Cricetulus griseus: one gene and its partner. The protein of the gene in region 1 interacts with the protein of each later gene in a biochemical or structural test. Links are inferred from orthologs where the notes say so. Each region holds a gene or a part of one and is shown in the gene's direction. Other genes may lie near its edges.

What was found. The genes of interacting proteins can lie anywhere in the genome.
Region 2: the proteins of Mmp2 (region 1) and Timp4 form a complex in vitro, tested with the Homo sapiens proteins (2 studies listed by BioGRID). The link is inferred for Cricetulus griseus from reciprocal best matches to the Homo sapiens genes MMP2 and TIMP4.

The regions. Positions count from the first base shown.
Region 1 is NC_048596.1:168,546,829-168,550,473, forward strand, and holds part of Mmp2 (72 kDa type IV collagenase), read left to right. Parts: intron 1-2,203; coding exon 2,204-2,377; intron 2,378-2,557; coding exon 2,558-2,731; intron 2,732-3,645.
Region 2 is NC_048601.1:29,592,047-29,596,445, forward strand, and holds the start of Timp4 (metalloproteinase inhibitor 4), read left to right. Parts: upstream 1-1,492; coding exon 1,493-1,631; intron 1,632-2,796; coding exon 2,797-2,894; intron 2,895-3,307; coding exon 3,308-3,422; intron 3,423-4,399. UniProt on the Homo sapiens protein: Complexes with metalloproteinases (such as collagenases) and irreversibly inactivates them by binding to their catalytic zinc cofactor. Known to act on MMP-1, MMP-2, MMP-3, MMP-7 and MMP-9.

The DNA.
Region 1 (3,645 bases):
AGACCCAGGGCTCAAGAACAGGAGGACAGGAAAACAGGAGGATAAGAGAGTTGAGGCACAGAGATGGATGGAAGGCTTAGCTGTGGGAGGAGAACAAGGCTCAGTCCAAGCCTTGATTGAAGTAGGGTCTGTAATCTGAGCGTATTAGCCCTCTCTCCCACACTGGTCCTACTGTACTGAGAGTCAGTGTAAGAGGTCACAGCTATGACATCTAATTCTGATTTCTGTCTTTGTGTCATGGCAAAGACACCTAGCTCTACTCAGTGTGTGTGTGTGTGTGTGTGTGTGTGTGTGTGTGTGTGTGTGTGTGCGTGCGCGCGCGCGCTCGCGAGTTCACCCCGTGCTCATTCAAGCTCAAAAACGTTTTTTCTCCATCTACCATCACTTGAGGTAAAAGTGCGGAAAGGGGAACTTTGAAAACATCCTGGATATGCTTTCTAATCATAAATCGTTTTAACAGTATGCACGACTTCATATTTGGTCAGGCCATCTCACTTGATGGTTCCAGAGATCAGAAGCCCAGTAAATGTTGGAGAAATGGGAGAAAATACAGCCATACTTCTAAGTATTAGCTTATTCCCCAGCCCATAAAATCTCTCTGGGGTATGGACTAATTAAGGGCAGTTTGTTTGGGTTGAGGAAGGACTGTAGTTGTATATAATTGTGTATGTATGTTTGCAACTCTCCCTGTCCCTATTGCAAAACAACACTGGCACCAATCATCCAGACAGAAGGGAAGAAACAAAGAGTTTCTAGTTGTCTTCCTGTTTACATTTCTCCTTTTCCTTCTTTCTTTGAGACATCCAACCCATGGCCTCACACATGCTAGACACATTCTCCTCCACCACTGATCTCTACCCACAGCCTGTTTATGCTTTTACCACTGAAGCTAAACTATGTACTAAAACTCAAGCAATTGACTATTAGCAAACCAGGGATTTTAAAAGAAAAGTCTGTGTCTTGCATTTCCCAGTAGGACACGAGGAAAGACAGAAACCTCTGATTCAGCCCTTCTGATAGAACAGGCTTCATGGATAGATACAGAAACAGCCTCCACCTTCACGAGCTTGGAAAGGTTCCCTCTGTGTCAGACACTGGCCATTTCTTTGGTCCTTAGCCAGGTGCAAGTACGCACAGTGCACACGTGTTTGGGTTTGGAACAGCAAATTCTGATTACTCAGGCCCTCCTGATGGCTGACTCAGTGTCTGCTCTCCAACCTTCTCTTTGGGAGGCGTGTGGGTCCCAGAGGAGATGGGCTTCTGGGTGGCAGAAACACAGCTGGTGGGATCCGAGTGGTCACTTAGCTGTTCCCCACTCTAAATCATCCAGAGTCTCGACTCAGTTTCACCTCTTCCCTAGGTCTCACACCTCCTGCTTCATTAGGAAAGGTTTCTTGTTTAGGGTTGAACTGAAGATAGAGACCCCCACCCCCAAGTTCTGCATTGGGATGCCAGGGGTTGGGCTCCATTCAGCCCGTGGTAGAGTTAACAGGCCTGGTGATGTCACCTCTGGCACTGCTGTGCACAGATGGTCCTTGTTACGTACTTGTGGTTTTGCTAGTTGGCAATTCCAGATCCACACCATTTTGTAACTCTGGAGTGGATAGAGGGACAGAAAGCTTGGAAGAGCCCAAGACAGACAGGCTGACCTTGATTCTACCGCTCTCTATTCTCCAGTCATGGCCCTATCCTGCAGTTCTCAGAACGGGAGGCTTAGACAACAGCTGTCCCTGCCTCCTTCTCCTCTCCATTCTGCAGGGGCCACAGCAGCAGTAAAACTGTCCAGAAAGGACTGGAGTTTTCTCGGAGGAGCAGATCTTCACTATAATGAGGGGAAAGTGGCCTTTTAGATTTATGTTATCATTTTAAATTATGTGTAGGTGTGTGGGTCTTTATGTGAGTATGTACACATGAGTGCAGGTACCCTCCGAGGTCAGAGGCATCAAATTCCCCAGAGTTGTAGTTACAAATGGTTGTGAACTGTCTGACCTGGGTGCTGGAAACCAAACTTGAATTCTCTGGAAGAGCAGCTGTTGCTTTTAACTGCAGAGCCATCTCTCTATTCCCTAGAGATTGTTTGTAATTAATATTTTTAACACAGCAACCATTTGGTTTGCATGAGCCAGCAAGTGGTTGACTAGCCAGCTCTGCCCAGGCAGACATCTCTCTCAGTGGCATCTTCTTCCTCTCTTTCTTTCCCCAGCCTTATTTACCATGGGAGGCAATGCAGATGGACAGCCCTGCAAGTTCCCGTTCCGTTTCCAGGGCACTTCCTACAACAGCTGTACCACCGAGGGCCGCACAGACGGCTACCGCTGGTGTGGCACCACTGAGGACTATGACCGAGATAAGAAATATGGATTCTGCCCAGAGACCGGTGGGTATCACTGCCTCTCTCTGACCCTCAGAGGCAAGCATTTTGCCATTCAATACCCACTTGTCCACACACAGCATCCCTTTCCAGTGAGTGTATGTTAATGTCAATATCTTGTCTTTGTTTCCTGGTAGTGGCCTTAGATCCTCTGCTGCCCCTTGACCTGTGTTCCTTACCCAACAGCTATGTCCACTGTGGGAGGAAATTCAGAAGGTGCTCCATGTGTCTTCCCCTTCACTTTCCTGGGCAACAAATATGAGAGCTGCACCAGTGCCGGTCGCAATGATGGGAAAATATGGTGTGCGACCACAGCTACCTATGATGATGACCGGAAGTGGGGCTTCTGTCCTGACCAAGGTATGAAGCCCTGGCTTTTGGTAGAGACACCAGACACTCCTCCACACCTGAGCTAGACTATTCTGAGGGTCAGACTATTTTCAGATCAGACATTGTCCCTAGACAAGTGTCTTAGGGTTTTTATTGCTGTGAAGAGACACCATGCCCACGGCAACTCTTACAAAGAAACCATCTGGCATGGCTTGCTTACACTTTCAGAGGTTCAGTCTATTATCATCATGAAGGGGAGCACAGCAGCGTGCAGGCAGATGTCGTGCTGCAGCCGAGAGTGCTACATCTTGCAGGCAACAGGAAGTTGACCTACAGTCACACTGAAGTCCACTAACAGTCACACTGAGGAAAGCTTGAGCAAAAGAGACCTCAAAGCCTGCCCCCACAGTGACATACTTCCTCCATCAAGACCTCACCTAATAGTGCTACTCCCTTTGGGGCCCATTGTCTTTCAAACCACTACAACAAGATACCCCATTGTGCTCTCAGACCTCCCCATCTGAGCAGAGACTCTGCTCAGCCACAGTGAAGACAGGTTTCTTGCTTAGGACCAGCCAATTCAGGCAAACATTTACACAGTTTCCAAAGTGAGACCCTATTACTAGCCACTGATCCTTGGTGGGTATCTGCCATGCTCTTTCCATTCTTGCCTTCCACTCCAGCCACCTTTCCAGGCAGGCAACAGAAAACAGTCAGTAGTGACCTTACTGTTGTCAGAACTGAGCAGGGTGCTTTGGGCCTATCTTTCAGCGCCCAGAGGCCCAGGGCTTCAGGTTTCAGGTACCCCAAAGACATTCAAATAATCAGGACGGGTCTAGAGCCTGACAGAATGAGCCTCTGTTCTAGTTTCGTTTTTGTTGTTGTAAATAAACACTTAGGGAGGAAATGGGAACAAACAGCCTTACACTCTCAGGTTACAATGT
Region 2 (4,399 bases), on another chromosome or scaffold:
AGGCCCAAGTAGGAACATGATGGGGTAAGGGGAGCAACAGACAGCACACTGTCAGATGAAGATTCTAGCTCTCTCTGCCACTCACCTGCCAGTCACCTCATGGCACTGAACCTCTTAGCCCTCACATCTGTCAAGTGACAAGACTGGGCAGATTCTTTTAAGACCCCCCCTCCCCCGAGTGACAACTCAATCTTGGTCTGAGCATTGTGTGAAGAAAGACTCTAGACACCTGGACCTACCACCTGTCTCTGTCTGATTTTGTTCTCTCCCAACTCCCTTCTTTTCAAACATCGCCATTGCCATCTAACTGGTGTCTTCTCAAGGACATAGCTGTCACTAGAAGGGAAAAGTCAGATTTTATAATGAAAAAATGGAGTGTTGTTGTGATCAGAAATGTGGGTTTGATGCTCTGGACTGTAAAATGAAGAAAGGGAGGAATTATGTAATTCAGTGTTATTTTATGGAGGAAAAAGTTGGGGCCCAAAGAGGCAAAGATCACAAAACGACCCAGTGGCAGCCAGAATCAGGACCCAGCCTCCAGCTCTCCCTGAGGCAGTCACTCCACGAATTTCTTTTCATTCAGATTCTTGGAGCGCTTTGCTGACAAACAGTGGACAAGGCTTGGGTCACAATGACCGGAGTGCCTGGCTTGTTTGCTAAGCGGCTCCACCTTCTGCAACATGGCGTCTCCAGGGGGCAATGATGTGCAGTAGGAGCTTAGAAGCCCAAAGTTTGCCCTGACCAACTGGACACCCTGGTTTTAAGCTCTATGGAAAGAACTGCCCTCAACTCTCTGCAGCCTGAGGCTCCGGCTGTGAGAAAGGGTTTTAAAGCACTGGCTACTTTCTCTGACATCCTTCCCCACCCCCTAGCCGACAGCGCCAAGACACACACACACCCCAACTTTGTCTGTCCTGTTCCCTGACTGTTTGCTGTTGCTTTGGAGCCTCATAAATAGGGCATTGAAAACACTTCCTGCGGCTGAAAGAAGCCCTGAGTAGCTTGTCTCATTCCCAGTATGCAGCTCAGCGAGGGGTCCGTCCTCCTCTGTCACTGTCTCTTTTGCCTGTTGTAATTCTGTCTGCCTCTGACTTGGCTTGTGTCTTCCTGTGTCTATGCCTCCCCCTCACTTGCTCCTCTTGCAGGAGCCTCAGTCCCTCATCTTTGAGCCTTCTTGTGTCTGCGCTGGTCTTTGCTTTTCTCTCTCTGCCCTCAACACTGTGTCTTCCATCTCCGTTCAGGCTGCTGCCTCTTTCGGAATCTGCCCGCTTCCCTCTGCATTACTGGGTCTGTCGGTCTGGTCAAGAGGGCCTTGGGTCCTGCGGCTGTGGGTGGCCTGCTGCCAAAGGAGGGAGGAGCCCATGAAGGGCGGGATTGGCCCTAAAGCCACCTCATAAAGACTGGACTGCACTAGGCTTTCTGGAGGAGTCCTGGAGGGGCTGTTTGTTACGACAGGCAGACCCCACGAGCTCAGCTGGGGCTCTGCAGTGTCATGCCCTGGAGCTCCCTAGATGCGCTGAGCTGGGCGCTGGTGCTGCGGCTGCTGGCATTGCTGCGGCCCCCGGGGCTGGGTGAGGCGTGCACCTGCGCTCCTGCGCACCCCCAGCAGCACGTCTGCCACTCAGCTCTAGGTGAGTCCGTGGCTCTTGAAGACCACAACAGGGGTTGCCTGTGGGAAAACTGGTGTTGGGCAAAGCTGTAGACCTGGAATCTGAGGGAAGGGGTGGAGCTCCGACCCTGGACGGGTGCCTCCTGCTGCAGCTGATAGGTCAGACATGCTGTTGCTTTGTTGACCTTGGAAGTACAAAGTCTGATTTGTAGGAGAATAAATATTCTATCATAGATCTCCAGAGTAGTCCCTGTCAGCTCAGCTTGATGGACCCTAGCTGTCACTAGAGCTATCTAATAAGTTTCAGAACTCCTAACGGGTGGGGCATTTGCACTGTAACACCTGCCTCCTTGCCTGCAGTTGAAGTTGCCACCTCAGGACTTAACACCTTTTGTCCTTTCTCTCCCACTACGTGGATACCCCTCTTTCACACTTTTGACTTCCTGGCAAACTACTATTCACCCTTCATTTTCTAAAGGCTTTTTGATTCCTTGCTGCCCCCTTTCTAGTGGATGCTGATTTTTTTTTTATAAAGTGTTCTCCATCTTCTGCAGGACGATGACGCTGTCAATGAGCCTAATGCCTAGTGCAAGGTCAGACAGAGAGCAAGAACTTTTTAAACAAAATTTCCAGGGCCGGGACTGTAGCTCAGTGACAGAGTGTTTGACTCTCCTGTGTGAGGCTTTAGGTTCACCATTCAATACAGGAAAACAAACAAACAAACAAACAAAAACAGTTCTTGATTAGATAGCAAGAGATGAACTTCCTCAGTGGGGAGTGAGGATATTTACAAATTCCATAAACATTATCTACTATCAGTTGTAGGTGTGTTATGAGGTTCTAAGATGTATCAATAGACAGGTCTGGTACCAATTGCCTTGAAAGGACTCCTATTTTCTGCTCGATACACCCAGGGCTATGGAGAACTTGAGCTCTAGAAACTGACAGGTTAAAAGGCAGACAAAACACAGTTTAAGGACCTAATAACCCCAAAGGATTTGAAGCCTGGCAACCACTGCAGAATAAATTCCAAGCCCCTTCTCTCATATACATCATACTGCTAAGAACCCAAAAACATGTGAGCCAGTCTCTGGATACTCAGAGGACTCCAGGCCATCCAGACCTGAGACTGCACACTCCCACAGTGCTGAAGTCCCCCTCTCCCCCACACTTTTTTCCCTGTGCAGTAATCCGGGCCAAAATCTCCAGTGAGAAGGTAGTTCCTGCCAGTGAAGACCCTACTGACACTCAAAAAATGATCCGGTATGAAATCAAACAGATAAAGGTACATGGGGCAGGACTGGGGCTGAGCCATGATGGTCTGATGGAGGGGTGGGGCTTGTGCTATGGGAGGGATGAACCTGGTGAGAGTCAGGTAACAGACTCAGGTCTCCTGAGGAAGGTGATGAAGGGGAACTATATGAACTAGTATGGGCAGGAACCATAGGAACCAAGTGACTGTTCAGGGTGGGGACTCACTGTCTAGCCTGTCCTATAGCTCTTTGTCCGTGGGACCTCCCCACCTCCCTGGAATAAATCAAGGTTTAGACTTATTTAAAAATAAACAAACACACCAGTGAGGTCATCTGTGCACCCAACTTGAATTTGACTTTTGCTTAACGTTTGGAAAGAAATGAGCATCTTTTAACCTGCTGCCCTGCCCTGATGCACTGCTGCTCTTCTGTAACTGTCTTTCAGATGTTTAAAGGGTTCGAGAAGGCCAAGGATGTTCAGTATGTCTACACACCATTTGACTCATCTCTCTGTGGTGTGAAACTAGAAACCAACAGCCAGAAGCAATATCTTTTAACTGGTAAGTTAAGGGGCTAAGCAGAGTTGTGATAGTGACCATGGCCTTTTAGTTGGGGGGGAGCAATGAAACTCCCTTTCAACACAGGAGTCCCCATTACAGCAATCTTGGCCACTGCTCCACTATTTTAAGGAAAGATTGCTCTACCAATCTAAGATAGCTAGTTCCATTTTGAAAGCATTAACTGGTAAGAGACTTTTGGCATCTTGAGCCCAAATACGTCTCCTGAAGGTGTTTCCTGTGTATCTATTTCTGCCCTGTGTACAAGCTTGACTCTACAATTCTACCTCAGCGAACCAGCCTCCTCCATACTGAACTAGTTGAGACAGAACAGTAAACGAGCCATCCATCCAGTATACCTAAGAATATTTTGGGGGAATAAATAGACACAGTACTAAAGTATTATGGAATTCTGAGAAAGGGGTGCTGGTGTGGTTGTGAACAGGTAGGGAAGCTTCACTGTTTGAGTAAGCTCTACGCTGGCCTACAAGATGGAAAACATCAGTCAAGGATCAAGGAAAACAAAAGTCCCTGACCACAGGGAGAACAGGAAGGAGCTCCACTCTATCCAGGGAGCCAGTGGATGACTATCTACTATATACTGCCAGGCCTGGGCAGTAAAGTGGAGATTCAGGAATAGGTCATAGTCTCAAAGACTTCATAGTCTAGACACGGCTCTTGAAGAGTGAGTGACAGGAACTAGAGGACACAATGAAAGGGGCTCCTCAGCTCTAAGGATGCAGGATTGTGCTGCCCTGGGCAGCCTCTACAGAGACAGGACATGTCACTGTATCTTCCAGTTCCTTCATAAGCAGACTAGTCTCTTTACATCTCTTGATACTCCACCCCTTTGCTGAGCACCCACTTTGTGGGTCTCACCCTCACTGAGGCACTGAGTATGTCAGGGAAAAGTGAACATGGTGGGTGTGTGGCGGGGGTGGGGGTGTCCTTGAAGAGGTCAAGAATAACCAAGGATGGAG